Rattus norvegicus: one gene and its partners. The protein of the gene in region 1 interacts with the protein of each later gene in a pairwise test. Links are inferred from orthologs where the notes say so. Each region holds a gene or a part of one and is shown in the gene's direction. Other genes may lie near its edges. The genes, in order: Glp1r, Cd81 and Slc15a4.

Region 1 (9,974 bases):
TTCTGCAGGTCAACTTCCTTATCTTCATCCGGGTCATCTGCATCGTGATAGCCAAGCTGAAGGCTAATCTCATGTGTAAGACCGACATCAAATGCAGGTACGCTCACCAAGCTGGCCTCAGGGGCGCCCTCAGCCTTCCCTTCCAGGAGAGAGACTCTGGGGTTCTCTGTTTGGAACCCTGTGTGATGCTCTTTTGCATCCGGGCCTGGTTTATAACCCCTGACCTTTCCCCTCACTCTATTCTTAGCAGCCCCTGGACTTTGGAAGTCTTGCCCTCTGCCCTCCCCCATCCCTAACCCCTCCCCGGCAGCCAGCCCCGGGGTATTTCAATGAAGAGCGTCCGTGACTCAGCAGAAATGGGGAGGTGGTGATGATGGTGGTGGTGTGGATGCAGAGAAGAAGGAACAGCCTGCACAAGCCCAGAATGACCCTAGCGGTCTCGCCCTCTCTCCAGACTCGCGAAGTCCACTCTGACGCTCATCCCGCTTCTGGGCACGCATGAAGTCATCTTTGCCTTTGTGATGGACGAGCACGCCCGAGGAACCCTACGCTTCGTCAAGCTGTTCACAGAGCTCTCCTTCACTTCCTTCCAGGTGACCCAACGCTGGGGCCGCTTGCCTGGGATGTCCCAAAGTGAGGGAGGGTCAGGCACCAGCCTGCATGGCGCAAATGAGAGAAATGGGTAGGCCGAGACCTGGGAGAACCATCCTGACCCTGAGTCTCACAGTGGGAGCAGAGCCAGAGCGAGTGTATTGCTCCCAGGTATTTGGATGTATAAACCAGTCTTCTCTGGAAATCCATAGGACAAGAAGACCTCCCAGATGTGGACCTGGGCGTCTAGGCATATAGAGAAAGGCATGGCCATCCACTAGCATTCTGCCAGGCAATTTATTTATACACACAATACATTCAGTTGAGAGATCGTTCCCATTTGACATAACAGAAAACTGAGGCCCAGAGACATTAAAACAAGATTTACGGGGTGTTCTGGAGCTTTTCCTGGGGCGACGTGAACAGACAGACATATTCATCCCAGACAGAGTACTGACAGCCAACCAGAGAAATGAGTCTACCGAGTTCCATTTGAACCAATGAGCTTGTTGGGGTTGGATACAGGAGCATGGGTGGTTCAAAGACAGCTGCATCATTGAAAAGCCTACCCCACCATGACTGATAACTCACAGAAGCTGCAGCTCTGGAGCTCCCTGCACAATTGGCCGGCAGCTCCATGGAGCAGAGTCTCTTCTCTGCAATTGTTGACTGCTCATAGAACCTGATGGAGGGGCCTTGTATCTTTCTGAACTTCCTGAGTCTTGTAAGTTTCAGGACCTTTCTGGGTCTTATGAGCCTCCCCCTTTCTTCCAGGAAGGATATGTTGTTAGAAGAGCTAGCTGTACCACACAGGGATCACACAGGTTCAAAGCAGGGAGTCAGTCCTCTTCATTAGCATTAGATGATGCAAACGTTGTTGGAGAGACAACTCAGTAATTATGAGGACTTGACTCTTGCAAAGAACTCAGGTTTGGTTCCCAGCATCCGTGTGTTCTTTATTTCTTTTCTTTTTTCTTTTTTCTTTTTTTCTTCTTTTTTCTTTTTTTCGGAGCTGGGGACCGAACCCAGGGCCTTGCGCTTGCTAGGCAAGCGCTCTACCACTGAGCTAAAGCCCCAACCCCCATCCGTGTGTTCTTGTACACTTGCCTGTTACTCCAGCTCCAGATCAGACCTCCTCTTCTGGCCTCCAAGGGTTCCATCACACATGAGGTGCATATAAACTCTACCTTTCTGTCTCTCTGCCCCCCCCTCTCTCACACACACACACATACACACATTCATGCACATACACATATATACTCATGCTCATGCACTTGCACACACACACATACACACACACACACTCACACTCACACAAATCATTTTGGAAAATTGAAAAAAAAAAATAACACCACCTTTGTCTACTCCCAAGCCTGTCCCGGCTGCCTGATCTGTGGAGAGGGGTGTCAGGGGCTGGTTGTCCAGTTGTCTCCTTTGGGCTCCCTTCCTGCTAACATGCCTCTTGTTTCCAGGGCTTTATGGTGGCTGTCTTGTACTGCTTTGTCAACAATGAGGTAAGGTCTGAGGAGGGACAATAGGGACCCTGTGGGGGCTGCTGCCATTGACTGGTAGGGGGCTATGCAGTCTTTCTAGTTGAAACTTCTGATCCTTCCACTATGGCTGAAATTTGAGGTGACATCTTGCCTTTATATTCTATTCTGTGCTCTCCCTGCCCCCACCCCCCCACACACACAGATTGAAAAAAGAGCTTAGGCACCACTTAGCCTTGCATCAAAGGGTTAAAGTTGACTATTTCGGCAGGGGTGTCCAACCTTCTGACCTCACCACATATCACTGTCATCCACAAATTATTTGGACCACCTCCGTCACTATCCTAACATGCACTGGGCCATCAGGCTACAGGTTGGGCGCACCTGATTTATTGCAGAGTGATCCAACACACATGTGCCTAAGCCAGTCTCGTGGCCTCTGCCCACAAGAGCTGTTCTCCAGACCTGGGGTTGCCATGGCAATGCCAGGTACTTGTGACCTGAGAAGATGGCTTGAACATTTGTCTCATGAGGTTGTCAAGGCCTGTACCAGCTGCTGGTCGGGGGGTAGTGGGAACAAGGGGAGGGGAGGGCTGGCGATGGATTGACCGTGGCTTGTGTCAGAGGGGCAAAGTGAAGTAGTCAAGCAGCCCTGAGGGCTCATTCTGTTCCGCGCCACCAAGCTGTGTGACGTCAGGCTAGCCGCCTTGCGGGCTTTCTCTTTTCTACCCAGGGGTCAGTAGAGGTGAGAAAGATTTATCAAACCTGGGGTGCCCTCCGGTACTTAGTCAGGGAGGGCACTTGGAACACAATGCTAGGCTTCAGTGCAGAAAGGGTTAACACTAGATGGTGCAGATGCCAGGCCATTCATTCTTTCATTCATCATTCATTCATCATTCATTCATTGGGTTATTAGCACAGAGAACAACTCTGATGACTGGGACCATCATGGAATAAAAACAAGCAAAACAAAACAACAGCAAAACACTACGGGAGACAGGATGAAGGGATACCAAGTGTTCTAAATCCTGATGGTTTGGCTGCCCCTTGGTGTACCAATTTTCTTTCCCTTCCTCCAAGAGGGAGACTGTGAGAGATTTCCTTTCCTGCAGCTGGGAGGAAGGGAGCCATCTTTGTCTCTATCCCAGCTGACAGCACTCCAGGAGCCCAGCGAGGCAAGACAGCTGTAGGTAGTGTCTGTTCCACCTCCTTCCCTTGCCTTGTGGGCCTTGGCTCCATGACGTCATGTGGGACACCAAGACGCCCTGGCAGGCAGGCGCTAGTTGATCTTAGCTCCACTCAGCCCAGAAGTTCTTGTAAGGGACGGCTTGTGGCCACACAGGGTGTCTGGCTGGGCTTAAGGCTTGATGTATGACTCGGAAAGAGTAAGGGAATAGTGTTTGCCTAGGGGCAGGTAGAGACGTTGGCAGGGAGCCTGTTACACACAGACAGCCACGGCCTTCCTGATGGCTTGGGACTAAAAGGAACACGGTCCCAGACAGTCCAAGATGGACTGATGAAAGCCCAGAGGCTGGATGAAAGATCAGACAACAAGAATAGCTCCCAGAAGAGACATCCAGCCTTCGGGACACGCTGTGCTGGTTAGAACAGCCCGGGAGCCACAGAACTGTGATAGAGCCACAGTGTTAGCACGAAAGCTCAGGGACCAGCGATGGTGGGGGTCCGAGCGACTTTCTGCCCCAGCTGATCCTCTAGCATAGACCCCCGCTGAGAAGTCTCCTCCCCTGGGGAACGCCTGAGCTCTGCACAATGGGGAATCTTGAGTTGGCTGAACTCACATAAACAGATTACCCAGCCAGGCTCCCGTCAGTCTCTCTGCATGGGATGGGTCCAAAGGTACAGAAATCCAGGCCTTGTATTATTCCCCTTGCTTTCTTCACATTCAGGGGAAGGAGGCAGGAGGGTGGAGAGTTCAAAGCCAGCCTGGACTCCATAGTGAGACTTTGCTGTCAGAGTCCAAAGGACAATAAACTCAGACCCAAACAGAACAGAGCAAAAGCTCCTCTGGGAGTTTAGACAACCGAGGGCCTCGACAGGGTTAGGGGTGGGGTGTGCCTTCCCTTTCAGTTGTCCAAGCCACCGGGCGAAGAGCCTTGGACTCCATCTTCCCCAGCGCTCGCTCTCTCTCTCTCTCTCTCTCTTTCTCTCTCTCTCTCTCTCTCTCTCTCCCTCCCTCCCTCCCTCCCTCCCTCCTTCCCTCCCTCACTCTTTCTCTTCCGTTGAATAATACTGTGATGGATTGTAAAAGGTACTTAGCTGAATCACTGAATTTAGAAATGGAAAGGGCCAATTAGGTCATCAAGCCCATCTCTCTCCAGAGGAGAGGCAGAACATAGGAGACAACAATAAACAATTTTATTGGGATATTAATTTAGGCGCCTGAAGACCTTGACTCGTGTCTTGTCATATAATCCAGTGGATTTTTTTTTCCCTTTCCCTGCTAATGTAATAACAGGGCCATTTTGTGGGCAGTTGGTTCGCCTGATGGCTTTTTGCCTCCCTCTCTCCTTTCCCACGGAAGGTCCAGATGGAGTTTCGGAAGAGCTGGGAGCGCTGGAGGCTGGAGCGCTTGAACATCCAGAGGGACAGCAGCATGAAACCCCTCAAGTGTCCCACCAGCAGTGTCAGCAGTGGGGCCACGGTGGGCAGCAGCGTGTATGCAGCCACCTGCCAAAATTCCTGCAGCTGAGCCCCAGTGCTGCGCTTCCTGTGGTCCTTGCTGCTGGCTGGGTGGCCATCCCAGGTGGGAGAGACCCTGGGGACAGGGAATATGAGGGATACAGGCACATGTGTGTGCGTGCCCGCACACCGCACACACACACACACACACACACACACACACACACACACACACACACACGCTTTCCTCCTCCAAACCTATCAAACAGGCAATCGGGCAGTGCCTCCTGGGACCACAGACACATGTTCTCCAAGGAGAACAGCCTGCTAATTTAATCTCAGCGACAGGAAGAGAGGAAGAAACAATTGCTGTTAAGACGAGGAGGACTTCTTCCTGTTAAAGCTGCAAGGCCCTTGGGGTTCCCTCGGACAGAACTGCAAATCAACCCCGGAACTCTCGCTCAAGGGCAATTGCTGACGGGTGGAACTTGGGCTTGCGAGAGGAGGCAGGTCCATGAGAGACCTGCCCTTGGAACCTCAGCCAGCACAGCGCTCATCGAGGTGAGCTGGCTGTGCTGTGTGCACGGCTGGGGTTGTCACCTACATCAGCCTTCCTCTCGGACAAGAGGCTTTTCTCTGTGCATCTGGAGTGCCGCCATTCCTCCATCTGCCCGTTCATCCGCCATCCTGTCTTTGCCTTGGGGAGGGGGGAGGTTTGTTGAAGTCATGCCGTGCAGCTCTTTCTGGAAACATCTGTGGATGGTGTTGAAGATAAGCATGGGGGAGATACAACAGAGGTAGTCTTTGCCCATGCCCACTTCTTGCCTGGTCCTTTAAGCCACTTTGCTCTTGGTTTCTGCCCTGCATGGGTACTACTAGGGCAGGTCCCAAGTTGAGAAGCCCAGAGGTGAGGTGTGAACCCTCAGTTCTGTTGTAAAGATGCTCAAATACCCTCTAAGGTTCATCTAAAGGAGTAACCTGCCTAGGGGTGCTGTTGACCTGAAATCAAGAGGACCAAAGGATCCATTGCCAACACCCCCCATCCCCCACACACACCTCATCTGTGACCAGAGTCTATGCTTTGAATCAGAATGGGCTATATCCTCTGACCTCAGAGGCTATGACCCAGAAGAGATTCTTCCCTGAATCCTCCCACTTTGCACACATATAGACTTTATCCTTCTTCACTCTGTGTCTATTCAAATGTATAATTCTGGTTTCTCTCACCCCACGGAAGAACTAGATCACAGCAACTGTTATGTTTGAGGGAGTGGGGGAGAAGGTGATTGATTTGACCCCCTCTCCCCCACCGGTGTTGATAAGTAGCGTCTGTCCCACCTCCAGACTCCACCCACACATAATGAGCAGCACATAGACCAGGATGGGGGAGGGGGGTGGTATATCATGCTTGCCCTCCTCCAACCACTATGAGAAGGCTAGCAGAAGACACCACTGCACAGACCCAAGTCCAAGGACTGCCTCCCCAGGGAATTAGGCAGTGACTTCCTAGAGGCCAAGAAAGACTCCAAGAGCTGGAGAAGAATCCTAGTCATCTGGATCTCTTTTGAGGTTGGGGTTGGGGTGGCTTTCAATGGATTCTCTCATGAGGCTTATCTCTCCCTCATCCCGTGGAGAGTGGGGGACCCTCCCTAGTGCTCACACTAGACACTGTGCCCCTTGGAGAGGCATAAGGCATGTATGGGAGATAATAATGGGCTATAAAACATGCCAAGCAGAAAATATCTTATCCTTCAAGCTTCAACAGAGTGTTGTGTCTATGTTAATAGGGGAGTGGAACCTCAGGCTAGAGAAAGGAGAGATGCAGCCCCACCAAGTGAAGGAGTTCAGTGGGGGAAGTGGACCCAGGGTCCTCTGCATTCTAAGGAAAGGGCAGGCTTTCCAGCGGGTACCTCTTTCTTGCTCCCACTCTGGGAACTGTGGAGAGACAAGCGTGGGATACACTGGGTACTTTCTAGAACCATTCATTACAACTGAAAGGGAAAGACAGATATAATCTGCCTGAAATAAATTTTCCAAGGGAAAGATGCTGAGAGAGTCTAGGCAACCCAGTGGGAGACTTAATGCAGAGTTCTCCCTCCCCGCCCCCCGGAACTCTGGATTCTCGGGTTCACTGCACCCCACATCCCAAGATTATTAATGCATGTTTCCCTCTCAGATTCCTGATCTGCAGACGTCTTTGCCTTTCTCCGAGTCCCTGTACTATTAATGTTTTTTTTTTTTTGAATGGCACCACACTCCCTCTGAGCTCTTTCCAAACTTGCTTAAGCTAAATATAGCTCCCCCAGGTCTGGGAACAATCCGTTGCTATGTGTTCTGAAATTCCACTAACTGTTTACATGCCTCCAGCCATAAGTCTAAGCCAGGCATTTGCTGAGAACTCTCTGACCACCCCTGACCCCTACTATTGCTAGCCTACAGGGCGTAAGTGGTAGCTTTGTTGGAGACGCACAGCCCCAAGCTTACATGATGGTTGTCAATGTTTGATGACTTCAGCACTCTGGACAGCTCCCGGGGCCAGGGTAAGGGCTGAAACCTCCTCCAAGACTCCTCTATTCTAGTTCAGTCTTTGAACACCTAAATCACCAAAACTTTGCAAATCACTCACACTCCTAGATCGCCTCCCCGTTCGAATGACTTTGTGGAGAGCAGACAGGATTACAGTCACCTCAGCGCTCCTCACACGGGAGACAACATTAATGGGATTCTGGGACACTCTGTGAGCTGGAAAGACAGTTCCTCCGACTTTGGCCTGCCTACAAAAGCCAGGAGAGAGTCTTGCAAGGATGGCTGGGGGCTACTGCACGAGGCTGCCAGTGCAGCTGGGCCTCTGGGCAAGCTAGGTGAAAGCATACGAGGTCATTCAAGACGTGCCGAGTTCGAGTCCTCGTGTGACCTGGGATTTATATTGCAGAAGAAATGGAACAGCAAAGATGGACCCATCTCGTGGCAAAGAGGTGGTGTGAGGAAGCCGGGTGTGTTTTAAAGTCCGCTCTAGTACTTTCCTTGTTCTTGAAATTAAGAGTGGAGAGGCTGGAGAGATGGCTCAGTGGTCAAGTACGTGAACACTTGAAGACCAACATTCAGTTCCCAGCACCCACATCAGAAGGCTCACAAACCCCTGTAACTTCAGCTCGAGGGTATCTGACACTCTCTGTTGGCTTCCACTGGGACCTGCACATGTGTGCCATACACAAAACTCTCTCTCTCTCTCTCTCTCTCTCTCTCTCTCTCTCTCTCTCTCTCCACACACACACACACACACACACACACACACACACACACACACACGCAGTACCTGACATCCTCCTTTGGCCTCGACTGGAACCTGTACACTGTACACATGTGGCATACAAACACCTCACACAAACATATATATACATATATATATGTATATATAAAATTAAAATAAAGTAAAATCTGCAAAAAAAATTAACAAATTCAGAGACTAAATACACAGAGCAGAGGACAGGGTTGATATTTGAGAGTGTGGCCATGAGATCGTTTAATGCCTTAAACGATTAAAGTTCTTCGGACTCATCTCTGTTTGAAATATACTGGTAGGCACCCAAAAGTGACTGAAAGAAATGAAATGGTGGGGGTTGGGGATTTAGCTCAGTGGTAGAGCGCTTGGCTAGCAAATGCAAGGCCCCGGGTTCGGTTCCCAGCTCCGAAAAAAAAAAAAATGAAATGGTGACCGGGAAGAAATGAAATGGTGACCGGGCACCTCACCTCTCCCTCTCCAGTGCTCCCTGAATTCCGGGGAGATCTAACAGAGCACCAGATGGTCCAGCGCTCTGAAGGACTAGCAGACTCCCGTCTTCACTCGTGCCTGAGCTGGCTGTTTTTTAACAAGTCAAGGCCAAGAACGCTGTGTGTGCCTGTGCTTGTTCCGTGCATTCCAAGCCAGGGTGAGGAGATGGCTGGCACTAGATTCAGCCTGCCTCCGCCATGAAGGTCACAGGACTGCACAAGCCAGGGTGGGGCTGGCTGGGAGTCTGACAGATGTGTTCCCTTCCGCGCGCAGACAGGGTTCCCATTATCGCTAATGCTTGCGACGTGCTCAGGGAAGGCAGAATATGTTTCGAAGGTTTTATATCCCATCTGCTGAATTGAGTCTAATCTACAGGGCTCACTCTACTTCGGGCTCCTAGGAGGCAAACAGTTTTTTTTTTCTCCTGATCCTCAAATAATAAAATATAGGAATCGATTCCGCTAAGACAGCTATGCAAATGGCATGTTAAATATTCAACAGGAAGGGAATTAGAATCAACTCTAATGTGGCGAGGTGGAGTCCCCCCACCTCAACCTTTTTTTTTCCCCATGGCTCAAATGAGTTTCCTTGGTTAAAAAAAAGAGGGGTGCGGGGTCCAGTTTGAGAAACGTCTACCAACATTGCCATGTGTCTATACTGTTGATTGCAACCTGAATTGTTTCTCTGGTCCTGGGGAAGACCACTTCTAGAAGTTTCTCTAGTCCTGGGGAAGACCACTTCTAGAAGTTTCTCTAGTCCTGGGGAAGACCACTTCTAGAAGTTTCTCTGGTCCTGGGGAAGACCACTTCTAGAAACACCATTCAGGACCAGCAAGATGGATTAGCAGGTAAAAGCATTTGCTCCAAGCCAGATGGCCCCGGTTTGATGCTGGGTCCCACACGGTAGAGAGAATTGACTCCCAACGTTGTCTTCTGACCGTCACGTGCATGGAGTGACACGCATGCCCTCCCCCCACTTCCACATACACACACGCCCACACAGCAAATGAATAATATGTAATTAAAAAAGAAAAGTCTAAAAGAGTGATACAGACAGATCGCTTTGGAAGATATTTTCTTAAATAAAGAAGCACGGATAAAGCGGCGTAGTTTCGAGAGCTTTTCTTAGTGCCGTGGTGCGTTTAGAGTCTCCATGATTGTTTCTGCTCTGCTGACGGGCAGGAAGCAGATGGGGCTAATGGGAAATTAGAACAGTAAATAAGACACCTCGTTAGGAACCGCAAAACTTACGTCAACTTTTGCTTTGTCGTTAAGGACCTCACTGGGTAGCGCAGGCTGGCCTAGAGCTTCCCTGTCTGAAGGTGAAACAACAGAGGGGGTGGTATTTAAAAAGCATGTTGAGAGGACTTGAGAATCTGTTGGGTATAGTTAGGAAGACACACATAACATAGAACAAGGAGAGACTGGGCTTCCATTCACAGCTCACACCCATCCAACAGGCACGCGTGTGTTCCGTACACA
Region 2 (10,629 bases), on another chromosome or scaffold:
TGTTACATAACACCCAGGATCAGGAAGCAGAGATAAACTACTGGCCTTCTGCTCACTTTTCTGATTTTTATTCAGTATAGATCCCAAGTCCATGGAATGGTGCCGCTCACACTTAGGGTGGGCTTTCCCTCTTCAGTCAACCCAGTCTAGAAACTCCCTCACAACATGCCTGTCTCACAGGAGATTTTAAATATTTACCAGCATCCAATCCCGAACGGCATTTTTCCTTCTTGCCGGATCATCCTTCCCAGAACCCTGGGGAGAAATGCCAAGACTGTCTTGTTCACTTCATCTTGTTTTGCCTGGATTTTGTGGGTGAGGAGCCTTCAGTCTTCCTCGAGAAGACATAGGTACAGGACTTGTATGAATCTTCAGTCTTTCCTCAGGTCTGGAGGACAGATCCCCTTCTATTGCTGTTGAATGAAGTATTTTATCAGGAGAGTTGTGGCGCTTGGAAAGTAGAGAACTGCATTTCCTATGACTGTGGAGATGCTCACAAGAGTTTTCTCTGGCACTGCTCGGCTGTTTTTGGATGCTGAGATCTTTCAGTACACAGCTGTCTTGCTCCCTGACCTGCATATGAATTTCTAGCAAGCAGAAGTAATGGCAGCGGCCAACCTCTTTGCTTGAGCAAGCCCTACATAAGTAGCCCAGTTTGGGTAGTCTTCACAAATTTTAGGAAACTAAGAAACAAGAGTGGTTCTGCAACAAAATCCCCTACCTCCTGCCAAATGCACACAGCAGGACTCCTCTGTGGAGTGAGTCACAGGACTCTGGGACTGGGCCAAAAAGGGCTTGACCTTGACTTTCCCACAGACCAGGCCCTGCTGTAAGTGACAAGGACATATTGCCCTTATGCACTTAGAGACTCTCTGCAGCAACTCTGTCACACTTGGGGACACTGAGAAGCCAGTACAAAGTCATACAGTCAGGAGAATTTTGAGACAAGCCCTGGCTATGAAGACCTGTTCTTCCCACTTTCCTGGTGGACAAGGGAAAGCAAAGAGAAACCTCCTATCCTGGGCTTGGGCTTCCTCCCCCATTCCTTAACACAGCACATCTGCCTCCATCACTGGTTTCTTGGAACCCAGAAAGCTCAGGCCGAGCTAACCACAGAGGACAATTTCTGATGCACTCTTGGGTGCACATTGGGTAGGACACATGTCCTACCAAGTGGGCCTCTTTGTTCCCCCCATGACCTCATAAGGCCAGACTGGCAGGATGTTAGGCAAGGCACTTAAGATGTGGTACTCACAGGTGCAGGTCCTGAAAGGCAGTCCCACATACTCTTGCAACCAACCAGCCATCTCAGCAAGTCTCCTGGAACCTATGAGATTGTTCCCTACACCAACCCCTTCAATCGGAACAGAATGCAGCCTAAGTCTGCCTTCCACCTAACTCAGACCTGCCTGGCCTTCTTCAGTCTATATCTGTTCCTGGTTCAAAAGCTTCCTTTTTTTGTACCTCGCCCTTTTCACAAGGCTTTTCAGGTGTGAGAGTCTGGAGCCATCTTAGCTCCTCTAAGACACATAGTGCAGGTCTAATAAATGTGTTCCTATTTCCTGGGAAGATGCAACATAAACATCCATTCACTCCAGATAGGGAACTGACAATAGACCAGAGAAAGATCTTACCAAAGCCCAACTTGGTAAACCAATCAGTTGATTTGGGCTATTTCAGGAGTATGGACGAGGGGTTACTTACAGCATCAGAGACAACTCAAAGGGAGCTATATCACCAAAAACTTCAGCATAGGTGATGGTTCACAAAAGCTGGAACCCTGGAGAAAGGCACTTGAATAGGTCAAAGCATTGTCTGTCCTCCTAATTATTTATCTTTAGAGAGGAAGGGCCTTGTAAGTTTCAGGAACATCTGAAACTTGTTAGTTGTTCATTTCCTAAGTCTTAATACCTTCCCTCCAGAAAGGAATGTTTTAATTTGGAGGAAAACTGCTTTACAAAAAATTCCCCACCATGATTGGTCAAACATCTTGGAAATTCTCTCCTTGGCACGTATGTGACCAGAGCCTAAGGGCCTCAAAGAGAGTAGTAGCCTTGGCTCCTAGGCTGTCCATAGCACTAGGAGCAGTTCTGGGAACACAATGGCATCCACTAAAACCCAGATGTTTCACACTGTACATAGACAAAACAGCTGGCCCTGCATGACCTTCAATGTGTAATCCCACTTTAGGCATGAGGCATCCCCATCACTAGAGACAGTGGAGAGCTGATGAGAAAATAGGTGCCCATCTCTGCACATGCAAGAATTATTCTTGTCCCCCTTTTAATAAAAAGAATAATAAAGAATCCTCAGAGACTCCCTCCTGGGGACTCAAATGGCTTTTATTGTGATATTACTCCAGCATTGGTAGCTTGAGTTACTGTTATTGTGACACCACGTCAGCCTCCAGGAACCATAAATCCTTTACTATACCAGCAGCTATACCAGCCTGAAGCCAAATGTACAAATTAACTCAAGAAACCTACTAGCCTAGCAGAGTAGAGAGAGTAACTCCACCCGGGAAGCTACTGGCCAATCATCAGGTTTACATGTATATTATACAAAGTTCCAAATTCGTTCTTTAGACTACTGGGCATGGTGTCCTGAACACCTATAGTCTCAGCACTTAAGAAGCAGGGGTAGGCAGAGCCCTGTGAGTTCCAGGAGGCAGGGCTACATAGTGAGATATTCTGTCTGTCTGTCTGTCTGTCTGTCTCTCTCTCTCTCTCTATATATATATATATATACACATTCCTTTGTAATATATTCCTCTGTTTTACATATATTCATTTCTTTTACATATATATGTATTCCTTTTGAACATATTTCCAGTGCCTGTAGCCAGAGGGGTGCCAGATGTGATTCCCATAGGGAACATGTCCTTAACTGCCCAAAGATTTAAGAACATGGAGTGAACTGGAAAAGGCTGCGTCTTGAGAACTGGCCTTTCTGTGGTTCCCAGTGAGTCCCTGCTGATGAAGAAGCCCCATTGCCTTCCAGCTTGGGGAAGGGAGTGCCAAGATTTCACAGGAATATTATCTATGGCGACAGCAGCCATTCCTCACCTGGGAAGGGAGCACCTCCACCCTCTGAATTTTTCCTCACTTCCTTATAATCCCAACTCTCAGGAAACCAGCCAGAGGATGGAGGATGGACTCTTGGAAGGCACAGCCAGAATGGCATGAATATTGTATTTGAAGGTGCCCCTGAGGGTTCTCCAGACACAAGACTGGCTAGAGACATTGGGTACACTATTGACCTTCCCAAACGCACTCTCCAGAACTGCAGCCAGGGACTCTGCAGAGATAGAGGATTAGCAATGCTACAAAGAATTCCATTCTAGACCTTCAAGTCCACGGAATTGCTGCCTGGGAGATCATTATAAACAAAACATGCTAACTTTCAAGACCTTTTGTCGAGACACCTCTACTAGAGAACCCTCTGGGAAAGTCCAAGGCAAGTACAGGAGGAAGTAAGTGGGGCTTCTTCGGGGAGGGGTGTGTGTGTGTGGGGGGGGTGCCATTCTCAGTCACGACCCAGGGACCTGCCCCGAGGGTTGGGAACCCTCAGGAAACCTGGAGGTTCATCCTGCGCAGGCACAGTGCACCCAGGCCCCAAGAACCAGCTGCACCGAGTTCCCGAACACTTACTCTGGGACTGAGGTGGCAGCACCCACCCAAGCACCCCTGGCCCGGGCACCCCGCAGGCGGGAGGCGGGGCCAGGGGCGGAGCGTCCTAGGGGCGGGGCCTCAGAGGGGCCGGACCTAGCGGTCTATAAAGAGTGAAGAGCTCGGCGCGCGCCCGGTCTGAGCGAGCGCGCCCTTGCTTCAAAGCGGTAGCGACTCTAGCGCCTCCGGCTAGGCCTCCAACCCTTCTCTACCCTACGTCTCAATAGCCGCACCGCAGTTCTCCGGCCCTCAAGCGACCCAGGCTATCTTCCAGTCCCGGACTCCGGTACTGCGTCCCCAGACCGCCCGCTCCAGGACCAACCCAAGCTCCGCAGGCCGCGCGCCGCCATGGGGGTGGAAGGCTGCACCAAATGCATCAAATACCTGCTCTTCGTCTTCAATTTCGTCTTCTGGGTGAGCAGCCACTGGGGACGGGGCGCACCCCACGGCAGCCAGGCCGGGCAGCGCGCTAGGCCCAGCTGAGAAGGCGCAGCGCAACCGCGAAGTTGCGGCGCCACCTGTGGGCTCCGACCGCCGGTTGGGGTCCTGGCGCCCCTCGCCAGCGGGGTTAGGGCCGAGAGCTGAGCTTCCGGGCCTCCGCTCGAGGGGCTTCTGGGGCCGGGAAATCAGGCTCGCTCGCCTGTCCCCTCTGAGTGCTGGGAACTGGTGCAAGAGTCTGCGGGCTAGAGCCAGGTAATCAAGAGCCCTCAGCTGTGAAGGGGGTACTCGCACCCTCCTGAACGTTGTTTTGGGGACCATCCTGCTTCTCGAGCAGTGAGGGGGCTCGAGAAGGGCGGGATCTTGGCGCCCCGCCCCCATGAGCTCATCGTAGCCACCGCCCCTGAATAGGCGGCCTCGAAGTGGTGGGGGCACTCCATACTTGCCTTGGAGATATCAACCCCACTATTACACCACCCCTGCTTACCCTCTAGCTTGGTATTGCCACCCTGGGATGCTCGAGCTCCAGACCTAGAGGGCAGGGTGGCCCGGGCCGCGTGCTGCTGCTCACTGTGCCCCAGTTCCTAACCACCTCCACCCCCATCCCCCCAGCTGCCCCTCCTCCTTGTCTGTCGTCTCCTGCACAGATTACAGCCCCAGCCTGGCCCTTAAGATCCTGTGGAGTCTTTTGAAAGGAAGAGGGCATTCTGAGTTGGTGCAGGCCAGGGTGGTGCAATGATCTTGGGTCTGTACAAACCAGGGGCTTGGGATCTTTTCATATATACAGAATCTAAGCTGGGCTCTCCACTTTGGAAAGAGGTGCACACCCATGTGGTCATCTTGGAATGGAGACATGGGTATAGGAGGGTCTCCAAGTGTCCCTGGGTCCCGACTGTCTACATTGCTGCGAGTAACCATTGGTTACTTACATATGGGCTTCTTTCCATTTCCTGACTAGGTTGGGAATGGGGAGTCTTAACAGACCTGCCAGCGGGGACTTGAGTGGGCAGTGCTGGCCACTCCTCCGGACAGTGGTGCCACCCTCCCCACTGCAGTGCACAGACTGCTCTTCCCACCACCCTCCTTCCCAGAAAGAAATGAGGTTATGCCAAGGCAGTGTGTCTCTAAAGTTGAAGCTGGGAGGGCAAACTTGTAAGACAGCCCCTAGAGTGAGTGTGTAAGACAGGGGACACCTGTTTTCCATCGTGAACTGCTGACGATCCCAGGGGGGGTGTGGGTGGGGTGGAGGGTAATAAGATGTGAGGGATGGGCAGGGACTGGACTAAACTCAGCTGGAGCTATGTATGCTGCACGACTTGCTGCAGGGACCAGTCACAGTGACTCCAGGGAACACACTGAGGGGAGCAGCGTGGGTGATGGGGCTAAACTTGCTCTGCCCGGGCATGCCTTGGGCTCTTGACTGGGTAGCCATGTTGGATAGTGTTTGTCTACTCTGAACCATGCAAGGAGTTAAATGCACTCCCAAGAAGTGTTTTATCCACCTCCCCACCCCCGTTACACCTCAGATGTGGGATGTCAGGACCCTGCAAGATATTTCTTTTTTGGCCCACCCACCTTATCCAACTGGCAGAACCCCCTAGGCTCCCTGGAGTGCTGGGGCTGGGTGAGGTTGCTTGTTTCCCAGGCAGCTGGGGTGGAGTGCCAACATGTCCCTGGGGTACTCTCTATCAAGGCTCCAGGAAACGGTTCTAAAGCCTCTCCCTGCTCCCAGGGGCCTGCCTACTGACTGCAGAACAGCAAAAACTGTATCCTTTCACAATCCCATAGCCCTCTCCTCCCCACCCATGTTGGCCCCACAGTGAGTAGGATATGGTGCAGAGCCAGGCTACATCTGGTGAACACCACCCTGGCAGAGGAGCTCCTTCTGTGCCCCATGTAGCAAGGTCTGTCCTGTGACTATAGTTCCTGATGTCATGAAATTGAACCTTTGGGGAACCCCACCCCATCACTCTGGTCCATGGTCTTCACTTCTCCCCTCTAAAGTGAGAGTTCTTGGGGTCTCTGTCTCCTGGGATTGTGGGTAGACTAGCTAATGCACTCCAGAGTGGAACAAGGGGCTTGGCGCAGAGAAGGCTCAGGAAATGGATGCTGGGCACAGTATCCAAGAGGGAGTGGGGCCAAGAGAAGCTGAGCAATGAAGTAAGAAGTGCCTAGGGAGGGGGCTGAGAGGTCCTGTGGGCCTGTGGTGGGTATGGGGGCTAAGAGCTCTTATGTAGGGAGATTCGGTTGACAGTAAATGTTTCGATGGACACTTTTTAAAATTTCCAGTTTGAAGATTAAAGAGGTTTCTCTGTGGGAGGGGACATTCCAGGCACCCTTGCCTGCACACTCTCACTCCCACCAGTCCTCCTTGGGCTTGAGTTCAGAACCTACTCAGGGCCTGGCAGAGTTCTAGACTCCCAAGATATACCGGGCAGGTCACAAACCTGAAAAATGAGTGGTGTGCAGCAGAGACCATGTAAGATGCTCTTAGAAGTAGGGTAGTTACTTGTCCCTGAGACAGGTCTGGGGGTAAAGGGACCAGTCTCCTGACTCCGGCTGGGAATAGGGCAAGAGAGCAGGGGATGGTTTATCGCTCTGCCAGCCTATAGCTTGGGGTGGGTCTGTAGGAACTTTGTGTGATAATGTCTCCATAGGAGTAGTCAGTTAAGGGGAGGAGGCTGCCACCAATCTTCACTGTGTTCCCCCACAGAACTGGCTGCTCCTCCAGCCTAAGGCTGCTGGTGGCCCCCTTCCAGTAGCCTAGGCAGCCAGACCCACCACAAAAGGCTGATTACAGCCTCTTAACTGGCATTTAATTCTCCAGACTGAACATGACTGTCTGTCACCCAGCGGTCTGCTGCCTTCCTTCCGGCAGAGGGGCTCCAATCCTGTGGGCTCAGGGTAGAATGAGAACTTCCTGTGCCTAGGTTCACCAGTGGAAGAACAGACTTCCCCTCATTTCCCCAGGCTGTCTGCTGGCCTGGCTTTGGGAAAGACAATCATTGGGTTGGGCTGCCTGAGAGGGGGAAGTCTGGTTCATCCCTGGACTGGCTTCACAAAAGGACATCCGAGCAGTGGGGGGCACAGAGCTAGAGTAGAGAAGTGGGAAGCCCCCTGATATCCTCTACTCTGGTTTCCACACACTGCCCCCTCATAGTAAGAGCCCAGACCCCATTCTTTCTGGACCCTTCTGGCTTTCTCTCTGCACTTGCCTTCTAGCTCCGTCCTACCTCACACAGAGCTTCTGTGACGCTCTAGGGGCATACCAACAACTGCCAACCTTGATTCCTGCACCCAGAGCCCTGCCAAAGGGATTGGAACCTCGGTTGTAAAAGGCTTAGGGTCCAGCTGCCCTAGGGAGAGAACAGGAAATCACCCTTGTTCGTGGGAGAGGGTTCAGGTACCTATGGCCCTGACACCAGGGAATCAGGTAGGACATAGTGTGAGTGTTGGGTGGTCCTATAGGTACCCATTTTGTTCCTAGGACTGTTGCTAGAGAATTAGGTGTCCCGAGAAGTGGCCTTTGGTAACCTTCAACTGTTTAGTACTCTGACCTGGCACGCCAGTGACTGACTGTGACCCCTAGTACCTCCCCCACAAACACAAACATACACACACACACACACACACACACACACACACACACAAACGGGGGTGGGGGTGGAGAGAAAGAACACACTTCTAGATCCAGTCTAAGCTATTCTGCCTGGCTAGCTGCAGAGCATGGGTTATGCAAACTATTTGGGCTCTACCTTTGAGGGAACTGTTCACAAGGGGTTGGGCATCAAGCAGTTGGTGGTGGGCATCCTGGAGTGGCTGCCAAAGTAACTGCAAGGGGGTGTTGGGAGAGGGAGACTGCCTTCCTTCATGTGGAGTCTGGGGAGAGCTTCAGGGATGGGAGTGCAGGGGGTGCTTTAGAACCAGGACACCCATAGTTTTCTAGCCCCAAAGCACTGAGTTGGTAATCCAGGCCAAGAGCCTGGGAACCAGGCAATTTGGGCAGAAGATGCTGGGTAATAGGGCCCCCAAGGGTCCTGTGTTTCCCTTGCACTGTCTCACGGGTCACTCCATACACGATGTCAGCTTGGGTCATTAGCACTTTCTCAGGGTGGGTCTGTGGCGTCCTCTGTGACTTGTTTAGCTGTGCTTTCACCCGTGGTCAAGCATCAGTGTTGGCTCTGTACTGCAGCTAAGCAGTAAGGTCCCAATGGTATTTACAGATGTCTGGTGTGGCTGGGTGCGGAAATGAGGAAGCTCAGGCCACCTGTCCTCCTGAAGCCCATCCCTGAGCTCTGGAGTGGGACCTTGTGTTGCAAGGGCTTGTGGAGTGTGACAAACACATACTGTGGAGTGTGACAGGCATATACTATCACTGCCGTCCACCCACTAGTGTTCATTCACCTCACAACTCTTTTTGTCTGTTTTCAAGGCAGAGCTTTTCTGGCCATCCTGGAACTCTCTGTAGACCAGGCTAGCCTCAAACACAAGAGATCGCCTGCCTCCACCTCTGCCTCTGCCTCTGCCTCTGCCTCTGCCTCTGCCTCTGCCTCTGCCTCTGCCTCTGCCTCTGCCTCTGCCTCTGCCTCTGCCTCTGCCTCTGCCTCTGCCTCTGCCTCTGCCTCCTCTCTGCCCCTTTCTGCCCCTGCCCCTGCCTCTGCCTCTGCCACTGTTTCTGCCTCTGCCTCTGCCACTGTTTCTGCCTCTGCCTCTGCCTCCTCTCTGCCCCTGCCCCTGCCCCTGCCCCTGCCCCTGCCCCTGCCCCTGCCCCTGCCCCTGCCCCTGCCCCTGCCTCTGCCTCTGCCTCTGCCTCCCAAGTGCCGGGATTAAAGGTACTGTGCCACCATCACCTGGACTCTCATTACTTTTCATGGCTAAAAGTCCTCATCCTAGGGGAATGGCCTGGCCTTTGCCCCAGGAAACAGTCTTCTCCTGTACTCTGGAGACCATGATAACAGTTCATTCAGCTCTCCCAAAGTAACACTCTGCTGGACTGTTATCAGACCCGTTGCAGGTGATAAGGGAACTGAGGTTTTTAAGCAACTAGCTGCCGCTCGAGGAAGCAGTGGGATAGGGTAGAACTGCACTCCACTGTGCTGCCATGTTCCATAGTCAAAGTGGCCTGTAAAGCTGTGTCAGCCCCGCAGCCTGGCCTTGAGACAGAGGGTCCTGCCTAACCTGGGACAGACGGAAGCCTCTTGGTGCTGCTGGTGGTAATGCCAGAGCTATGTAGAGCTTCTGCCTACTCTCAGCCCCTGCCTCCCTTTGTATTTTTCTGGGTACCAGGCTTCCCTGGATCCTCTGCAGCACTCATCCTAGAGGAGGGCAGGTACAGGACAGGTGGGGAAGGTACTTCTAGCCTCCTTGCCTGAGAAGGAGCCGTGTAGTGTGGCACCATGTAGAGTGGCCCAGCCCAATCTCCTGTACCTCAAGACAGCAGTGTATTCTCCCGTGGCCATGCCTTAGCCCTTTCCACCACCACCCCCAGGCTATCAGTTGGGCCCCAGAGCTAGGCTTTTGCTTTACTGCCTATTTTTAGATGCTAGGACAGTGGCTTCCTGAGGCAAGGGGCCTTGTGAAAGGAACCATACTTCCTGGCCAAAGCAAGGATTCCTGCCTCTCTCTCTAGCTTCCTTCCTGAGCTTCCTTTGGTTGACTGCAAGTCTTTACCTCTCCTAGGAAGGCCTGAGTAAGATCCATTATCTCTCAGGGAAGAATCTGGCCTTGTCCCCATCGTCCATGCCCCAGACCAGGTCCTGAACTCCTGTGGTGCCTTGAACACATGAGATGAACATGCCAGGACCCCCGTTAAGGCAGCACCTAAGTTAGCCTCTTTACCTAACCAATGCCCCTAAAAACACTCTGAACCTCTTAACTCTGACTTATCCCAGTCGCCCAGGGAAGGCCTCTTGAGGCCACTGCCTTTGGTCTCCACAGCCTCTGCCATCACAGGAGAGGTTCCTGGAACCCCTTGGCACCTCCAAATTGCTTAGGTGGGCAGGCATTTTGTGGTACACCTTCCAGTTTGCATCACGTACCCAAAAGGCTTTGAGTAAGCCCCAACCCTCAGCCTTTGGTTTTTCTCTTGTGGCACGAAGGGTCACTTAAAGGAACAAGCTATTGTTACAGTGAGCTTTATGGAGCATTTTGGGGTATCTGGGTGAACATTCACACCTACCAAGCTGGTTTCAGGAGCCTTGTCCCTTCCTGGTGGGCTTCGTGTGGGTAGCAATGGGAAAGCTTCAGAGAAGCCCCTATCTGAGGTTGGGCCAAGGCTGGGCAGGGGGCAGCTAGCACAGAGTAGAACACTGTCCCAAGCCTGTTCCCTTTCAGTCACTTCTGGGAAACCACAAGCCCAGCTGGGCAGGGACCCAGCACGCTTGGCAGCTCCTCATCTTGTTAAAGTTTGAGTCTGTTATGGATTAGTCCTTAAGAAGGAGGAAGCAACATAATCCTGCATAGAGTCATGAATGCATCCTTTTGTGTCAGGGAAGGAACTCCAGGAACCTGGACATGCCACCTG
Region 3 (9,974 bases), on another chromosome or scaffold:
GTAGTCCTGGGATTATCTGGTAACCTTTCTCTGTTTAAACCCATTCTCCCTTCTGCCCTGCCGGCTGGCCTCTCTTCTCCTTTTGGCTTTGGTGAGGTATTGGCCGGGGCATATGAAGAGTTTGATTAGTCTTGGCAGGTCATGTGGTGATGTCATGGGACTGGTACATGGGGAAGCTGTGGCTTTTTGCCAAGGGCAGAGAGAGGCATGTGACAATCCAGTTAGCCGTCCTGTGGCTACTGAAGCACTGGGAGTAGGCCTCTGTTTATAAAGCAGCTGTGTCTGTAACCCTTGGACAGTAAAGTTAGACCAAGTTCTCAAAGGACATAAGGACTTTAAAGGTCCATATGTCAGGTCAATTGAATGGGTATTCCCTTACTGTTTGGAGAGAGAGCTGTTTCTGTGAATGTGGGAAGATGTGTGTGGTTCTGTTATGAGTAATGGGGAGGGCCTGGGACATTTCAGTTAGTATCTGTAATGTTTCCTGTAATGTGCTGAGCATTGTGGTGCATATCTGTAGTTCTAGCTGCTCCAGAGGTTGCGGCAAGGGGATCATACAAGCTGGGGAATTTGAGACCAGCGTAGGCAACTGATCCCATGTCCAAAGAGGTGTGCTTTTGTTTTTGTTTCTTGTGTAAAGTGTCCTTTTTTCTCTCAAGGTTGTGAAAACAGTGACATATGTTTGTGTATATGGCGTTTATACATTCAATGTATGAAGTGTATAAATAATAAAGTATACGTACTTTGAGTTTTATCTTCTCTATTGCTCATGGTTTTTCTTTTGGCCTGCCTCCACTGGTCATGAACATTGATATCCACCATTGGGTAACATTTAAAGACATCGTGTCCCAGCCGTAAACTAAATATAAACTGTTCTTAGTGATGTCCACCTTTAGAATGGGGCCTTTGTTCAGAACTGATGTGTAGGCCAACAAAGTGCTTGTGGTTGTTGGTCAGTTTGGGGGCTGGAAATGGCACTTAGTGGTAAAGGACTAAACATCGCAAGGACCTGTGTTCAAAATAACCCTGAAAAAAGAAAAGAACAAACCAACAACTTGGATTTTTCAATTTAATGTGATTGTAACCATCTAACTGAATTCAAACACTGGGCTTGCCAATGTAGTAGCTGTCATTGGAGTCTAATAACTGTCAGGGGATACTCAGTTTACACCCTCACCTTAATCTTAAAATACTCTGTGGGGAACCATGAATGCCAAGCAGAAGCCTTAACACTTGGTAGCTTTGTTACTGTTTAAAGCTTGTTTCTAGGCAAGAGGCACTTGCTCTGTGGACCAGAAGATAGATATAGAGCCAGTTTTTAACCTTTTCCATCCATTAAGGATGTATGTGCTCCGAGCAGTCTTTGGCTGTGGGTTTGCTCAAGACAGTTTGTGAAATGAGACTGCCCAGAACCATGTTGAGTTGGATTGGGGCCATTCTCATAGTGTTCATGGTAGATGTAAACAGTACAGGTGGGAGAAGCAAGGTTAGGGCTGCCTCTGCCCAGATACCACCAAGTGGGGTCTTCAATGTGTTGATGAGATTCTCTGTACAGCTCAGCCAGGCTCCAGCTCATGAGTCCCCTGTTTTTTGTCTCTTTAATGCTGGGTGTGCACCGCTGGGTAACCTTTCTAATCTAATGCTAGCTTGTGAGCTTCTCTTACTGTGCTTACAGCTTAGTTGTAGGCTTGCCAAGGACTCTGGTGCTTGGGTACCATGCAGGAGTTGTGCCTTGCCTCCGAGCAAGCCTTACTATGCATGGGGCCAGAGCCTGCGTGGCAGGTTCTCATAGTATTCGTGTTAAGTGCAGTAAGGTCTGGAGCTCAGGATTGCATGATGATTCTGCAGGACTGGACCGGGCCAGGCTGTGGTTTCTGGACCCTATTTCAAGGATTATTCCTGGTGGCCTCATGGTAGATGGTCAGCTTTCTTTGAGCACTAGGACTTGCTGGCATTTGGAGAGGCACCCAACTTCTCTGAAGGACTGAATGTGAGATGACTTGTCAGGAGACTGGGTGAATCTGTAAACAGCATTTTGACTGTGTGCTATAATCAGCTGAGAGCAAGAACTTGAGATCCTGTGTATCTGCTCTCAATTTATAGATGATCAGGTGCTATGTAGGTGTGGTGACAGGGCTTATAGCTACTGTGGGTGGTTGGGAGGTCATTACATATGAAAACACTATGGCTTGTCGTGTTTAAAGAGTAAACAGAAAGTGTAGAAGATCACATTTTTTCATGCATTTCTCTTCTCTCTTACTTTAGGTCAAAGATCGAGGTCCAGAGGCCACTCGGAGATTTTTCAATTGGTTTTACTGGAGCATTAATTTGGGAGCAATCCTGTCATTAGGAGGTATTGCCTATATTCAGCAGAATGTGAGCTTTCTCACAGGCTACCTGATTCCTACAGTCTGCGTGGCCATTGCTTTCCTGGTCTTCCTCTGTGGTCAGAGTGTCTTCATCACCAAGCCTCCTGATGGCAGTGCCTTCACTGACATGTTCAGGATTCTGACCTACAGCTGCTGCTCCCAGAGAGGAGGGCAGCGGAGAAGTGGGTGAGTGACACTTGCTCCCTGCAGAGAAAGTCCCAGCTGAGGGCTGGGCTGAGTGTGGTTTGTGTTTGATCTTTAAGCTGGCTTCATTGAGGAAGTGTGTGGCATAAACCCCTCCATTAGAATAGCAGAGTCCTGAGTTCAATACTCTGCCCAACTCCTTCACTGCCAACATGGGTAAGGGTACCTTGCTGCTGGGTAGCAGATCGTGAAGGTAGGGATCTGCAGAGGATATCATGGAGACATTGTGTGCTTTAGACACAGAAATGTGTTAATGAGAACTTAAGCTGTTATGTATGTTGTAGGTACTTGTCTCAAAAGGAAGCTGTTGTCTCTCACATTGGTCAGCACAGAGCCATGCCATCTACTGTGTAATAGAGGGGCACATAATCATAGCTTGAGATGCACTTGGGAGCCCTTTACCGCTACTTGAATGGGGCTTGTATAGCCTCAGTGCCAGGGATCCCAACCTGGAACTTTCAGAAATACCCATATTCTGAGATATGCCCCCTTTTTCTGCTGATGGTGATCCATGGTCCTGCCCAATGTAGGTTAATGACGTCCAGAAATCAGCCTGCGAAGGACTTAGATGCTTCTGTGTTATGTATAGTACAATGGTTACTCGACTGTGGTTGTGACATAAGAGATGTAGTATTGTAGCCATTAGCAATCAAGGCATAGAAAACCAGAGTCCAGGGACCTTGGTGGTCAACTCCTTCCCTGTGATTTGCTGAACCTAAGGATTCCTGGTAGTTACTGAGAAACGTAGATTCCTTATTCTTAGGGCTTCCTGTGGGATGGCCTTGTTAGCAAAAGTACTCTGCAGGGCAGTGTGCACATCTCCTTGTGTGCTTGTCATAGCCGTACTGGAAGCCGTTTTGTGGCAGACCTGAAGCTGCACAGTGTGACTCCTGTGGCTCTGCTGATGGCACATGAGTCCCTTGGGTGAAATCTGACTGTCCCAACTTCCTTCATGGACCTACTGGGAAGTCTGTGTGCTCTGGCAGCTTTCAGACCCTGTCTGGAGGGGAACTAGCACTTGAGGAACTTGCAAAGCTGGACACCACCCAGTTCCAGCAAACCCTGGTTTTTGCTAGGGCCTTACTTTGTCAGACAGAAGCTTTTGTTGCGGCCCTTAACTGTTTCTAATCTAGATTGATCTCTGTGGGGACAGGACAGCTTTTAGCAGATATCCCTGATGAGAGCCTTTCAGTCAGGGGCCAGCATTGCTCTGGGACCTGTGGGGTTTTGGTGTGCATATGACACAAAAGTAGTGAGACTGAACGGCTTGGCTTCCTCTGAGCTTCAGCATTGGAAATCTCTGGGACAAAACTAAGCAACAAGAGTGGGAAAGGTGGCAGCTACGTTGTATGAACTTGCTGTGGGCCCTGGCTATTCAGAGACTATTAGAGTGTCTGACTTTGATATTTGCTGGGCTGCTCTCAGGATTATTGTGAGGCCTCAGTACAGTGAGGTAAGCAGCCTAGTACCTGATGAGGCCTGCCACATCCTAGGTAAGTAGGAATTTGAAGAAGTTAGAGATGTTCTCAAATGAAGAGAAGTAAGTACAGGAACCCGGGACCCAGCATCCCTCTCACCTAGTCCCTGTGATACTGCGCAGGCAGCAGGGATTCACCTCATCAGATTTTGCTAAAATACTAAATAAGTTATGGTTTTTAATTTTTCGATCTTCTCTGACTTGGAATACAGAGATTAAGAGCATCTGCTTTATAGAACAAAAATAAGGGACTGGAGAGACAGCTCAGTGGTTAAGAGCACCTGCTGGTTTTCCAAAAGACCTGGGTTTGGTTCCCACCACCTATAGTCTTCCACAGCTCTGGTTCCTTGGGATCCATGGTCCTCCTCTGGACTCTGAGGGCACCAGGCACGTCTGCAGTATACTTGACATATATGCAGGCAAGCTGGGTGTGTTGGCACATGCTCTTAATTTCAGAAAGACTGGCAGATCTCTGAGTTTGAGGCCAGCTCGGTGTATATTGAAGCAAGTTGCAGGACAGTGAGGGCTCCATAGTGAGGAAGACAAAACATACATCTACGCCAACCATACGTGCTAAATAGGAAAAAAATCAAATAATCTAAAATGTGACAATTCAGGGAAATCAGGCCTAGGATTATAAACTTGGATGCAAACAACTGCCATTCCAAGGTCTGGAGTTGGGAGGCTCTCAGCGGGGTTGAGTGTCTTATATTGGTTTTGGTTTTGCAGGGAACAGTGCAGTTTCCTACAGTTTCTGTTGGTATTGTGCAGCTGGGGAAGACCGTGTCACTGCCTGGAGGGTCTCATTCATTTCTTTTAAAGACTGCAGATGGAGAGGCAGGGATGTTCATGGTGTGATGTGAATAGGTGTGGTTGTCCAGGCATACACCTGTCAGCCAAGATGGCCTCACTCCAGTGCTGATCCCAACCCTGAGGCACTGGGATCTTGACACAGCTCTTGTCTAATCTGTGTCCTAACCTCCTCTTTGAAATGGGTCAATAAGAGCCTTGCAGGACTTCCAGGCGTGTGAGAAAGATGAATGAGTTCCCCTTCCCCTCACCCTAGTGTAGTGCCCATCATGGGTCTCTTCATCCCAGAGACAGATGTTGCTTTTCCAGCCATCAGAGCACCCTCTAGTCCCTTGAGTGTCTACCTGTTTGATAAGCCAGTATAGTCACAAGAGAAATTGGGATTGCTCAGATTACTGTCGGCTGGCTAGAAGTCCAGGTGACACTGCTGCTCTGTGGAGCTGCGTGAGGTTGACATGCCCTCCTTGTGGGTACAGTGGACACAGTTATCTTTTCCAAGGGCCGGTGCGGAGTACAGTTAGTTGTAGGAGGACTTAAAGCAGGCAGTGCACAGAGCCGCTTTCCCACCCCAGACGTGATTTGTTACCGGGCATTGTTGCTGGGGATGGAAGTAAACTAATTCCTTCATTTTGTTTCCCAAAGTGAAGGCCTTGGAGTCTTTCAGCAATCTTCTAAACACAGTCTGTTTGATTCATGTAAGATGTCGCATGGAGGGCCGTTCATAGAGGACAAAGTGGAAGACGTGAAAGCCCTGGTCAAGATTGTGCCCGTGTTCTTGGCTCTGATTCCTTACTGGACAGTGTATTTCCAAGTGAGTGCTGACCGAGCCTTGTGGCTGATGTCACAGTGCAGGGCTCAGGGTTGTCCATCAGTTGCCATAGTTTCCAGTCATGAACTCAGGTTGGCTGCTTTGTATGGGAAAACCGTTCTGAAGAAGCAGCAGAGAATGGGTGTACTTCTGGTTTCCTGGCCCCTCCAGCTTCTCATTTGGTGGCCTGGAAGCTCTTCTCAAAGAGGCTGTATGGTGACTCAATAAATTCCATGTCTGATTCCAAACTGCAGCCGCCATCTGATTCTAAGAGGAGTTGCCACACCTCAGCTAGAGGAGGGAGGGTGTGTGACGGACTTGGAGAGGCCCTGCTGGCTCACCTGCAGCATCTGCTTTCTTTATCCAGATGCAGACCACATATGTTTTACAGAGTCTTCATTTGAAGATTCCAGAAATCTCAAGTATCACCACCACCCATCACACGGTAAGAGACCTGGAGGTGGCAGGAGTTGTTTCTGCAACTGCAGCAGGTCGCTGCGACTCTGTCACTAGAACTAGTTCCTACTTAGTTACAACCTGCTGAGATTGGGTTGTCCAGTGCCATTAAACACTAGCACTGTTAGATTTAGCCCTCCGCCAGCTCAGAGCACACTTGCGGCCAGTCTCTAGTTGAAGCACCTCAGAGGCCGTGCGTGGGTGGTGTGGGGAACTGCTGTACTGAAGCTAATGCCGCGCTCTGTGCAGCTGCCTGCAGCTTGGCTCACCATGTTTGATGCGGTGCTCATCCTCCTGCTCATCCCACTGAAGGACAAGCTAGTGGACCCGGTGCTGAGGAGACACGGCCTGCTCCCATCCTCCCTGAAGAGGATTGCCGTGGGGATGTTCTTCGTCACATGCTCTGCCTTTGCTGCAGGTGAGCCAGCATTTCTCTTGGCCTCTCCTCCCTTCCGTGTCCCAGTATGGCTTCTGTATCATGCAGAAGCTAGTGTACTGTGCTGAAGACACTGGGTAGCCAGTGACTTCATCTTTTGATGAAGAGTGTTTTACAAGTGTCATTTTCTTCTCAAGGACAAATCCTCATCCTAGGACTGAGTAGACTTACCCTGCGCTGCCCTAGCCTGCAGGCCAACACTTGGTGTGGAGTGGGAATGAGAGGAGGAGATTCTGTGCAGGCTTCTGACTTCACAGTTGGTGAAGCCGCCACTGTCCCAGCATGGAGAAAAGGGGTTTATGGGATTGGTCCAGGCTCCTCGCACACTCCCAACAAAAGTCTCAATAGCTGAAGAGCTAAACTAGTCAGTCACTCAGGTCCCACACCACAGTCCAGCATGGGACAGTGTCCTGAGACACTCCTGTCCCTCCCATTCTTTGTGCTGATGAGGCTGGGGTCTGCTAACCTTTTCAGGAACAGCAGGTGCTCTGAACTGCTGAGCCATCTTCCCAGCCCCTCTTCCTTGTTTAATGGTAAAAAATAACAAGGCCAAGGATTTGCCTGTGGTTACGGCTATACCATGTTTATTGTGCTTAGTGTAGGGTTTCCGCTTTTTATTACTTTACATTTTATTTTGTGCATGTGGGGGAGGAGGAGTCAGACCACAGCACATGTGTGGAGATGAGAGGTGAACTTGCCTGAGTTCTCCCCTTCCACCATGGGGGTTAGAGAGAAAACCCAGGTCATCAGACGGTGGCAGCGCCTTCACCCACTGAATTGTCTGGCCCAGAACCTTGATTTCCACTTGATCTGAAAGTCACTTGGGCCTTTTTAGCATTTCACCTTGGTACTGAGGTTTGTTTTGTAGAGTTGAGGGAGATCGTTAGTCCTGTGTTGGGGGCATGGAGGTTTGTTACCATGGCCCAGTGGTGCCAGCTTGTTCCTGAGGGTTCCAGGTCTCCCTTTCATGTTCCTGCCGTGCTGTCCTTCTCCTGGACCTCCGCATTCTGTGCTTTATTTTAGTTCTGCCCACAGCCTTGGTTTTATTTTCTTGGACTGAGGCAGGTTTTGGAGCTTTGTCTAGAGAACTGGGCCCATTTATTTCAAGGGCTGCACATTGGATAATTCAGCATTTTTTTTCACGTGTATACCCGTGGTAGTGTCTTTGAAACTTTGGTTGCTTACAGGAGCATGGGTAACTTCACAGTGTCTGCACTCATTCTCCCTGGTGACCATTAGTTATAGAGTCTCACGCATCCTCCCAGTTTTAAAAAGACAGGAGGCTGGGGCTGGAGAGACGGCTCTGTGGTTAAGAGCACCTACCCGCTGCTCTTGCTGAGGTCCTAGGTTCAATTCCCGACAACCTGTGGTGGCTTCCAGCCATCTGTAATGAGATCTGATCCTCTTCTGGTGTGCAGGTGTTCGTGCAGATAGAGCACTACTGCTTAAACTAGATAAATACATCTTAAAAAATGAGCAGAATGAATACTTGAGGGTAAAACTGATCATAGTGAGTATCTATAAAATGCTCTAGTGAAGAAGAGGTGGATGGCATGACTGGGACCTGCCTAGGAAGCTGTCACGGTCACCTTCCTTGCTTTCTTGCACCTTTCAGGATTGTTGATAAATTCCTGTAATACACTGCAAACTTAGATTAATGTATTAAGTGCTACACTAACTTGATTCTTTATTCAGGAATCCTGGAGAGTAAAAGGCTGGACTTGGTGAAGGAGAAGACCATCAACCAGACCATTGGTGGTGTGGTCTACCATGCTGCTGACCTGCCCATCTGGTGGCAGATCCCACAGTATGTGCTCATTGGCATCAGTGAGATATTTGCAAGTATAGCAGGTGAGACTGCGTGAGGTGGCATCTGGGCCTGTCTGTATCATACCCTGCACTGTGCCGAGCAGAACCATGGTGCTCTGGTGGGGAGAGTTGTCTCTTAGAGCATGACCCAGTAGGTGGTGTCCCTAGTCCTCAGGCTTAGGCTGCCCTTCCTCATGCAAAACCAGTGTTCTTAAGATATTTTCACAAGTCCATCATGGCCTGCCCTGTGTGTCACTATGGATGGCTCCTGCTAGACCTTTTTGTCCCCAAACTTTGCAGAGCACAGCTGTGCTGCTGGTGCAGGCTTACATACGTGAATAAGCAAATCTGACTTAGAGCTTTTTCTCATGGGCCTCTGTCGCTAGTGATACCCTGCAGGGACAAGGCTTGGGGCAGGTTGGCTCTTGCAGCAGTGGGAAGAGAGGAGCTGGTGACTCCCAGGAGGGGGAGGGGAGGAGGAGGAAGAGGAGGAGCAGGAGCATGAGCATGCTGCCACCTTCTCTTTCAAACCCTGGCAGCTTTCTGTGACTACTGACATGGGCTTTGCTTTCTCTTTGCCCAGCCTGGTCCCTGGGAATATAAGTTTATAGGTACTTGAACCTATTATGCTGTGTTGGCTGTGAAGCAGGAGCCTTATAGAGGCCTCCCCTTAACCCCATTCAAGTCTTGACTTTTTAGGATTTGTTCATTTTATGTGTTGCCTACATGTATGTATTTATACCGCATGCATACAAGTACCCATGGAGGGTAGAAAAAGGAATCAGATTCCTTAGACCTGGAGTTACACACAACTGTGAGTCTCCATGAGGGCTCTAGGACTAGAACCCTGGTCCTTTGCAAGAGCATCTAGTGCTCTTAAATACTGACCATCTCTCCAGCCCCCTAACTCTTGAGCTTTTGAGAAAGGAGCTAACACTGCAGCCTCATTGGCTTCAAACTTGTAGCAATCCTCTGGCTGCAGCCTGTTGAATGCTAGGACTTCAGGTATGAGATACCATGTCTATCTTGTGACAAAACTTGTGAATATCTGACAAGTGAGAGTGCCTTTCTTCCCTGGTGGGTTTTAAGAGCTCATGGGGTTGAGTGGCTGCATCTAGTGTTGACTTCTCCAACCCCGTGTCAGACCCATGTGTACTGGGAATCAGGGCACTGGGACACAGGCTCAGGGTGACCCAGGTGATCTAAGTGTGACCTCCTTTTCTCTAGGTCTGGAGTTTGCGTACTCGGCTGCCCCCAAGTCCATGCAGAGTGCCATCATGGGACTCTTCTTCTTCTTCTCTGGCATTGGGTCCTTCGTGGGCTCAGGACTGCTGGCCCTGGTGTCTCTCAAGGCCATCGGGTGGATGAGCAGTCATACAGACTTTGGTGAGAATTAACTTGTGGAGGGGAGGAAGAAGCCAGAGTGCTTGCTGTTGCTGTGGGTTGTATGAAGATTCAGTCTGTCCCAGAGGCCACTAGCCCAAACCCTGTTGAAGTTTGTGTTGAGTAGCCCTGCCTTGTCAGCAGCTGCTATATCTAGCTTAGCACTTTCTGGAGAGCTGGGTGAGTGGTCAGCCTGCTGTTTGTTTTGGGTTTCAGATGTTA

The links.
Region 2: the proteins of Glp1r (region 1) and Cd81 interact in a protein complementation assay, tested with the Homo sapiens proteins (2 studies listed by BioGRID). The link is inferred for Rattus norvegicus from reciprocal best matches to the Homo sapiens genes GLP1R and CD81.
Region 3: the proteins of Glp1r (region 1) and Slc15a4 interact in a protein complementation assay, tested with the Homo sapiens proteins (2 studies listed by BioGRID). The link is inferred for Rattus norvegicus from reciprocal best matches to the Homo sapiens genes GLP1R and SLC15A4.

The regions. Positions count from the first base shown.
Region 1 is NC_086038.1:9,005,175-9,015,148, forward strand, and holds the end of Glp1r (glucagon-like peptide 1 receptor precursor), read left to right. Parts: intron 1-8; coding exon 9-97; intron 98-454; coding exon 455-593; intron 594-2,063; coding exon 2,064-2,105; intron 2,106-4,623; coding exon 4,624-4,791; 3' UTR 4,792-6,448; downstream 6,449-9,974.
Region 2 is NC_086019.1:207,661,529-207,672,157, forward strand, and holds the start of Cd81 (CD81 antigen), read left to right. Parts: upstream 1-3,768; 5' UTR 3,769-4,016; coding exon 4,017-4,082; intron 4,083-10,629. UniProt on the Homo sapiens protein: Structural component of specialized membrane microdomains known as tetraspanin-enriched microdomains (TERMs), which act as platforms for receptor clustering and signaling.
Region 3 is NC_086030.1:34,704,603-34,714,576, forward strand, and holds part of Slc15a4 (solute carrier family 15 member 4), read left to right. Parts: intron 1-2,265; coding exon 2,266-2,555; intron 2,556-5,502; coding exon 5,503-5,671; intron 5,672-6,035; coding exon 6,036-6,113; intron 6,114-6,373; coding exon 6,374-6,542; intron 6,543-8,255; coding exon 8,256-8,411; intron 8,412-9,596; coding exon 9,597-9,755; intron 9,756-9,974. UniProt on the Homo sapiens protein: Proton-coupled amino-acid transporter that mediates the transmembrane transport of L-histidine and some di- and tripeptides from inside the lysosome to the cytosol, and plays a key role in innate immune response.